Oryctolagus cuniculus: one gene and its partner. The protein of the gene in region 1 purifies or fractionates together with the protein of each later gene. This does not show direct contact. Links are inferred from orthologs where the notes say so. Each region holds a gene or a part of one and is shown on either strand. Other genes may lie near its edges. The genes, in order: RABGGTB and RAP2C.

Evidence for each region.
Region 2: the proteins of RABGGTB (region 1) and RAP2C purify together in Homo sapiens (co-immunoprecipitation; 3 studies listed by BioGRID and IntAct, counting the BioPlex papers as one, with this or other methods). This does not show direct contact. The link is inferred for Oryctolagus cuniculus from reciprocal best matches to the Homo sapiens genes RABGGTB and RAP2C.

What each region holds. Positions count from the first base shown.
Region 1 is NC_091438.1:96,203,922-96,207,733, reverse strand, and holds part of RABGGTB (geranylgeranyl transferase type-2 subunit beta), read left to right. Parts: intron 1-703; coding exon 704-756; intron 757-1,127; coding exon 1,128-1,238; intron 1,239-1,877; coding exon 1,878-2,003; intron 2,004-2,964; coding exon 2,965-3,114; intron 3,115-3,423; coding exon 3,424-3,564; 3' UTR 3,565-3,812. UniProt on the Homo sapiens protein: Catalyzes the transfer of a geranylgeranyl moiety from geranylgeranyl diphosphate to both cysteines of Rab proteins with the C-terminal sequence -XXCC, -XCXC and -CCXX, such as RAB1A, RAB3A, RAB5A and RAB7A.
Region 2 is NC_091453.1:109,804,709-109,809,107, reverse strand, and holds the start of RAP2C (ras-related protein Rap-2c), read left to right. Parts: upstream 1-1,409; 5' UTR 1,410-1,550; intron 1,551-2,779; exon of another isoform or gene 2,780-2,824; intron 2,825-2,908; exon of another isoform or gene 2,909-3,049; intron 3,050-3,165; 5' UTR 3,166-3,712; coding exon 3,713-3,985; intron 3,986-4,399. UniProt on the Homo sapiens protein: Small GTP-binding protein which cycles between a GDP-bound inactive and a GTP-bound active form. May play a role in cytoskeletal rearrangements and regulate cell spreading through activation of the effector TNIK.

The DNA of each region.
Region 1 (3,812 bases):
CACTTCGCTTAGAGCCAGTTTGTAGATTTTTTTTTAAGTATTTCATTTTTTCAGGTCCCACGAAGCAGCTGGTCTAATTGGAATTAATGGTCTGCTGGAAGTTCCAGCATGCACTGTGGTAGTTATAACAGCATACAGGAGCACTGGAACAGAGGGGGCCAGTCTAAAAGATAAGGTAGGTGAAATTTTTTTCCCCCAATATTTGGTGGTTTTGTAAAGTTTTTAAAAAGTACTTGCTGGAAAGGGAAAAATACTTCTAAAAAAACTTTACAAACTTACTGAATATTTGTGTGGAGGGAGGGAATAGGATTTTTATTTGATAAATGTAGATAATCTGTGTTTTAGGGCTAAACACAGTGCAGGCCAGAAAGACCAGCTGCTTCATGGGATGTGAAAATCTACTTTTTATTAAATAAGGGTAAGTTTTATTTTTTTTTTTTGAAATTAGCTAGTTTTTTTTCAGATGTTTCCTTCCCTTTCTGGACCCCCATAAACAACATTGATAATTTGCTGTTATTTTTGACAGAGTAGTTTTTTAGTTATTAGACTTAGAACTTCAGATTTAAGCAGTTCTGACTACCTGATGTTAAGCTTGAACTCTTGGAAATTCAAGCTAGTAGGTGTACAGATTTTGTTTTTAGGTAACTTGTACTATATCAGAAGGAAGTCTGATAATGGTTTGATTGATTCCTTTTTGTTTTAGGAGAAATTGATACAAGATTCTCTTTCTGTGCGGTGGCAACGTTAGCTCTGTTGGTAAGCTTTGAAAATACTTAAGGTTTGTTTATTTGGAAGGCAGAGTGACACACAGAGGTTCACTCCCAATTGTCCACAAGAGCCAGGGACTGGGCTAGGTCAGAGCCATGCATGGTCTTCCATTCGGTGGCAGGGATCCCAAATACATGAGCCATCACTGCTGGGTGTACTTCACAGAAAGCTGGATTGGAAATAATAACTGAGAATCCTCTATTCACACACTTTGACTTGGGATATGAACAGATGGGTGGCCATCCCAAGTGTGGCCCAGCCTGCTGCACCACAGTGCTTGCCCCAAGCTTTGAATATTGAAATGATGAAGCATCCATGAGGACTTTTGAAATTTAACAGGCATATTTCTTTGTTTATAGGGGAAGCTTGATGCAATTGATGTGGAAAAAGCCATCGAATTTGTTTTATCTTGCATGAACTTTGATGGTGGGTTTGGTTGCAGACCGGGTTCTGAATCTCATGCTGGGCAGGTAACTTAATTCAGATTAAATTTTAGTATCAATTTTGAAGGATTTACCATTGTGATGACAGGGAAATGTGTTAAGTGTAATATCATTGGGGTGTAACATTGGATGTTAAGAATTACGGAAAGCTTTTCCACAATATTTTGCATTATGTACCATTCTGTTAGTAGATCTCTCTGGCCCAAGCAGTTGAACCGAAATATATTCAATTTTTAACTATGCAGTTGAAAACATTTCTACCTACCATGAGCCAAACGGGCAGCTCATTGCTTGTGCCAGAGTACTTTTTGTGGTTGCTCCCTTATGCATGACTTTGCATTCCACAATTGTAATACCTGTGGTCAACTTAAGACTAAGTTTTTCATTGGTCTGAGTAGTATAAAATCTCCCATCATATGTAGCATCCCTTTGTGCAGTATACTTACACTATACTTAACCTTATCTGTAGGTCTCATAAGAGACATGCCATGACATGTATTTTAGTAGTATACTTGGATTTTTGCAATTATTTAAAATTAGAAATGTTGAATCATCAGATCAGAAGGCAAAAGTGATAAAAATGTTTTAATAATTTGAATAGTTGGATTTTGTCATTATTTTACTGTCACATTATTATACACATGTACTTTATGTCTGTAATTTTAGATCTATTGTTGCACAGGATTCCTGGCTATTACTAGTCAGCTGCATCAAGTAAATTCTGATTTACTTGGTTGGTGGCTTTGTGAACGACAGTTGCCTTCAGGTGGACTTAATGGAAGACCAGAGAAGGTATTATTTCATAAGCTTGAATCAATGCCACTTCGTAGTAATGAGGAAGTCCTTGTCCTTCCTCCTATTGTGACTTTTCAACTTATCATTTCTTCCATTATAATATCTCAAAAAGCCTGCCAGTGGCAAAAGTAGAATCCAAAAGATTGAAACGCTTCTGCTCTTGGATACACTTAGTGTGCCCCTGAATCATGCGTAAGAAATTTGGGGAGCCAGGCTTTAGATCTAAGATATTAAGGCAAATTGGTGCCTAGTTGGAAAGCATTGGAAAATGTTGTATGTAGATTATTGTAACATTCTCAGGGATTTCTTTTTTTTTTAATTTTTTGATGACTTTTATAAAGATTTATTTGAGAGGCAGAGGGAGCAAGTCTTCCATCTGCAGAGTTGCAGGGAGGGAGGGAGGGAGGCCTTCTGTCTGGTTCACTCCCCAGCTTGCCACAACAGCTGGAGCTGAGCCCATCCAAAGCCAGGAGCTTCTTCCTGGTCTCCCACGGGGGTGCAGGGGCCCAAGGACTTTGGCCATCTTCCCACTGCTCTCTCAGACCATGGGAGAGTGGATCAGAAGTGGAGAGTCCCAGCACCCAATGGGAATCTGGCTCTGCAGGTGGTGGCTTTACCTACTGCAGCCCCCTCAAGAGATTTCATGAACCTCTCATCAGCTTCTTGGTTAATGGGCTGAGTTAGGAATTTATTGATGCAGTTAGAAATGTAGATATATACTTGTCACGGAGCCCTGAAACATTTAGAATGGGTACTTATAAATTGGAGTTAGTTTTCTCTTTCCCACTGGTTATCTTTTAATTATAAGCAAACATTGCAAACATATTTTAATGTTTTTTGTTACTTCTCACCGTTTGAATATCAGATTGCTTAGATGAGACTTCACTTTAAATTGTTACTAATGACTTAAGAACAGAATTAATACTAGTAGTTATTTGTTGCTTTCCCCTACTCCTAGTTACCAGATGTGTGCTATTCATGGTGGGTGTTGGCTTCTCTAAAGATTATCGGAAGACTTCATTGGATTGATAGAGAGAAACTGCGGAGTTTCATCTTAGCATGTCAAGATGAAGAAACGGGGGGATTTGCAGACAGGCCAGGAGATATGGCAAGTATATTTCTAATGTTTATATATCTTTTTAGTGTTGCATTACTTTCATTGATGTAGGCATTTCCAGGCATGTAACGTCAAAGCAGTGTACTTTACTGAATAGTGTCAGAAAAAATCTCCTTGCCTATTAAACAAGTTAGTAAATATTATATGATAAAGGTCATATTTTGAAGCAGGTTTAAGTTTATTTCTGAAAATGTTAAAGCCTGTACACAAAGTGGAATTGGCTGCAGTATAAATAAAATATTTTGAAGCAAGGTTTTGGGGGAGACCATTCATTTTGTAATCTGTGAATTTTTGTTTTAGGTGGATCCTTTTCATACATTATTTGGAATTGCTGGATTGTCCCTTCTGGGAGAAGAACAGATAAAACCTGTTAATCCTGTTTTTTGCATGCCTGAAGAAGTGCTTCGCAGGGTGAATGTTCAGCCTGAATTAGTGAGCTAGTTGGCTGATGGAAAAGCTGTTTAGTGTAGCTGCCATTCCAACATTGACTACTGTTAATATTTTGTATATTGTGTTAAATTAATTTTAATAAATTATGTAATTATACATACTGTAAAATAGATTTTGCATTGTATGTTCAGCTTTAGGTTTTGTTAATGCTGTTACTCTAAGTACAGTTTTTTGTTTTTGCTTCAGTGTATCATCTCCATGTCATTGTTTATTCCCTTTTTGTTTTGTAGAACAACAGC
Region 2 (4,399 bases), on another chromosome or scaffold:
TCTCTGCCTCATTTCAGAGCCCTGAGCCTCAGTTGCCGGGCCTCACTATTCTAATTGGACTTTATACTCTTATTGCCTAATGAAAGTACACTGGCAAACAAGTGAGATAATGTATGTGAAATTACTTTTCTAAGTATAGAGATGTTTGAGGACAGCAAGCAGGAGTTTGTTTAAATTGGGCAGGCCTATCTGCTGACCCCCTATCTTTTATTTTTTATTTTTTTTATTTGAAAGGCACAGTTACAGAGGGGAGATAGAGAAAGATCTTCCATCCACTGATTCACTCCCCAAATGGCTGCAAAGACTGGAGCAAAGCCAGTCCTAAGCCAGGAGCTTCTTCTGTGTCTCCTACGTGGGTGGCAGGGGCCCAAGGACTTGAGCCACCTTCTGCTGCTTTCCCAGGCACCCCAGCAAGGAGCTGGATCGGAAGTGGAGAAGCAGGGACAGGAACTGGCGCCCTAGTGAGATGCCGGCACCAGCACAGCAGGCGGTGGCTTTACAAGCCACATAGCCGGCCCCCTGCTGACCCCTAGGCAGAACTGTCTATTGACAAAGTGTTGATTAACAACTTCCTTTCATTTCTCCTTTAAATACATGCTAATTTTATATTTACTGCTTCCTTTCCTAAAAACAACTGATCATTGTTCAAAAATTAACACGAGAAAGGAAAGTTCTTTAATATCTCTCACCTATAATTACTTTGTTTCAGATTTCCATGGTTATATAACTGTCACGCACACTCTTATTTGACACTAATGGGAGCAACTGTACATTTTTCAGTATCTACTTTAGCCTTACAACATATCTTGGCCTTATTTTCATAATTAGCACTTACAAATATATTTTTCTCTTTTTAATAGCTGCATACTGTCCTATTTTGCGAGTATATGTACATAATTTATAAGAATCATCGACTGTAAGACACTGAAGTCATTTCCAATTTTGCATTTTTCTAATGAATGCTGTAATGACTTCCCTTCCTAAGAAAGTTTAGAAGGATCTTCAGACTGAGTGTGACACTTGCCAACCCTGTAGTTAATGAAAGTGACCCAGTGGGAGTGTGTGGCATGGGGAGGAGTAAGTTTCACTGTGTGGACAAAGAACGCTCCAAACCAGGGCCAACACGTTCGGGGATGATTAGAGCTGCCAACAGGTGGGACAACTTCAAAAAGAACTCCCTGTTTTCACAATTTAGTAATAGAGCAGAGACTGGCTACGATTGCTCAACGCTGGCTGGATCAGAAGAGGAATTTCCAGACTCGGTTACAGGCACGGCTGGTGGAAGGCTGTGGATTCCACCAGACAGTCTGGAGACAGCCAGACAGGGAGATGAGCAGCAGAGCTCCAAATCAGGCAACAGCACGTGTGGAAGGAGCGCTGACCTATGGGGAGACTCCTAACTCACAGACCAATACTCTTCCAGCAGGGGGCAGTGCCTCAGATATCTGGCAGGCCCCAGGCCAGCTGGAGCCAGAGCTGGGGACTCCGTGGGAGAGATTGCACCAGCTTGAGGCCGAGGAGAAACTGAACTAAATAGTCCCTCGAATACTGTAAGTGACATTGGGGTATACACAGGGAGGGACAGTGGGACTTCACGCTGCTGTGATTCGCCTGTTTTCTAGTGCCTAGCAATTTGCGTAATAAATCGTTTTTTTAAACAGTTTGGTCATTAGGGCTTGCAAGAAGGGAATTTGGGGAGACTTTAACCCGGCTGGCCCCCGAATCTGTTAGATTTCTGGGTGCATGCTTTAATCAAAAAGGGAGTGACATGCCTAAAATACAGCCTAGCATTCTGGCCCAGGGGCCCTGTGGATCTGACACAAAGTTTACAAGTAGAAAGTCAGCAAAGGGAAAGATATGTAACAATTCTATCGAAAAGTAGAAACTTAGTGTTTGCTAACAGTGGAATTAATATTTGTATTAAGATTCCAATGACGCTAAAGAATGGCCTTTAAAAAAAAAACACTTGAACGTGGAAGAGACAACATGCAAATTGCTATGCATGCAGATGATCGGAAATTTAATAGAAATTAGTCTGCAGGTCCAAAGGATTTTCCATAAACGCTTCCCTGAATATTGGTTAGCTTTTCTGCTGTGCAGGCATGGTTGAAATCAAATGGAGTACCATAAATTCTTTTTCTAATGCTCTTTTCTACCTAGCCTTGTGCTTTTTTTTTTTTTTAATTTAAGGAGTGACTTTAATATTTGCTAGTGGAGTCAAGGCAGATTTGCCAGAAGATGATAAAACTACTGTGTGTATTTAACTGTCAGGTACGGCTAAGCAACACACCACATATCAAATCAGAGCCATAGCGAAGTCTAGGAATATGTTGCATGCATTTCTTAGAGGCATATCAAGTGGAAAAAATACCAGCAAAGAGAATAAACTTCTGGGCGGTTTTATTCTCCCTGCAACTTCTAGTCCAGGGACATGAGGCGCTCTCCCGGTCGCTAGATTGTTAGCTGACGATCCGGCGCGGGCCAAGGAGCGGATCAAGTCCTCAGGCCCAGCTGCGGCAGGCTGAAGCTGAGGCAGAGGAGCTGCAATGGCTTTGGGGGTGGGACGGTCAGCAGCAGCCGCGGGCGGGAAGGCCCAGACGCCGGAGGTTCTCGGAGAGGCCTTTTCCCAAGGCCGGAGCCCCGACCCGAAACCGTCCCCGGCCGGCTCGCTGGCTCGCAAGCTTGCTCACTCGCTCAGCAGGGCGCGGCCCCAGCGCCACCCGGCTCGCCCCGAAGAGGTGGGACTTTCCCCCACCGGAAGTGATCCCGTCCAGTCTCGGGGAACTGGGGCACCTCAGTCAGTGTGTCAGGGAAACCCTTCCGGGTGTGTGTTGGGGGGTGGGGTGGGGGGTGGGTAAGAAAAAAAAAAGAGGTGGGTTCGCCAGGAGTCCCTGCGGCCGCCGCCGCCGCCGCCGCCGGACGGCCCCCGCCCCTTTCCCCCTCGGCGAGCAGCCACGCTGGGGCGGCGGTGACACACAGGAGCCAGCGGGTGGCCATGGCCTTGGAGTGACAGAGCCTCCCGGGCGGCTGGGCGGGTGCGGACGGCAGGGTAAGCGGCGGCGGCGGCGGCGGCGGCGGCAGCCTGGTTCGGGGGAAGGAGAAGCCGGGGCCTCTGGATTGGGGCGAGGGTCAGGCGGGTAATGCGTGTCTTTCTCCCCACCACAGGCCGGACGACCCCCGCTGGAGCCGGGGCCCAGAGACCCGCCCGGGCTGCAGTGACGGGAGCGGGGCCCGCAGGCCTGGGCCGGCTCGGCGGCAGCGCTAGCAGGAAGCGGGGTCCCTGGGCCCCTTTGTGTGAAGGGCGGGGGAGGGCTGCCGGGCAGCCCCTGGCTGCGGGCTCCTTGGACCGCCCGACTGCCCGCGGGGCTGTCTTTCCGCGGCCCCCACCCCTTTCCCTCCTTGGGGTGCGCCGCGTCTCCCCACCCTCGCTCGGCTGCTCCCAGCTCGCCCTCCTCCCCACGCCCCCTGCCTGGGCTTCAGTTCCTATAGGAAGGGCATTACCATCCCATCCCCACCCACCCGACACTTGGCTCTTTCCCCTCCCCCTCCCGTAACTTCCTCTTCTTCCCCGGTTGGGCCCTCGGCTCCTCTGCACTCTCCTCGCCAGTTTGCAGATTTCCGCCCACCTTCCGCCTAGCCGCGCCGCAGCCAGCGCAGCTAGCGGGGTGTTCTTTTCCCCCGCGTCGGGTAGGAGTTGGTGAAGGGGAGACTCATGAGGGAATACAAGGTAGTGGTGTTAGGGAGCGGAGGGGTTGGCAAATCTGCCCTTACTGTGCAGTTTGTCACCGGGACTTTCATTGAGAAATATGACCCCACCATTGAAGATTTCTACCGCAAAGAGATCGAAGTGGACTCTTCCCCCTCCGTGCTGGAAATTCTGGACACCGCAGGAACTGAGCAGTTTGCCTCCATGAGAGATCTCTACATCAAAAACGGCCAAGGTTTCATCCTGGTTTATAGTCTGGTTAATCAACAGTCTTTTCAGGTAACCAAACCAAGTCTTGTAATTTGTTGGAAGGGGGTGTGGTAATCCTGATTTACCTCTGATTTGCTGGAACCGCGCATTCAGGACTGTGTTTGGCTTTTGAAAGTTAGACATGGCGCATTTTTGAGGTTACTCCTGGCGTGGAAAAGTGTCAGGTTGTTTCTAGAGACAGAGTACTGAGGTATCATGCAGCCACGAATCTTTTCAAGTTATTTTTAAGTCGAAGGAAAGAAAAGACCAGGAACAGATGGGTTGTCTTTAGCTTAGAATGTAACCTTTTGGAAGTTTCTTGAGTATTGATTAACCCATTCAACAAAACAACCTTTAACAAATAATCTTGTGCAAATAGAGGGCTTTGAAAGGAAAAGGATTTGGAGCCCATTATCTGTTGCACAGATAACACATCTGTGTCTG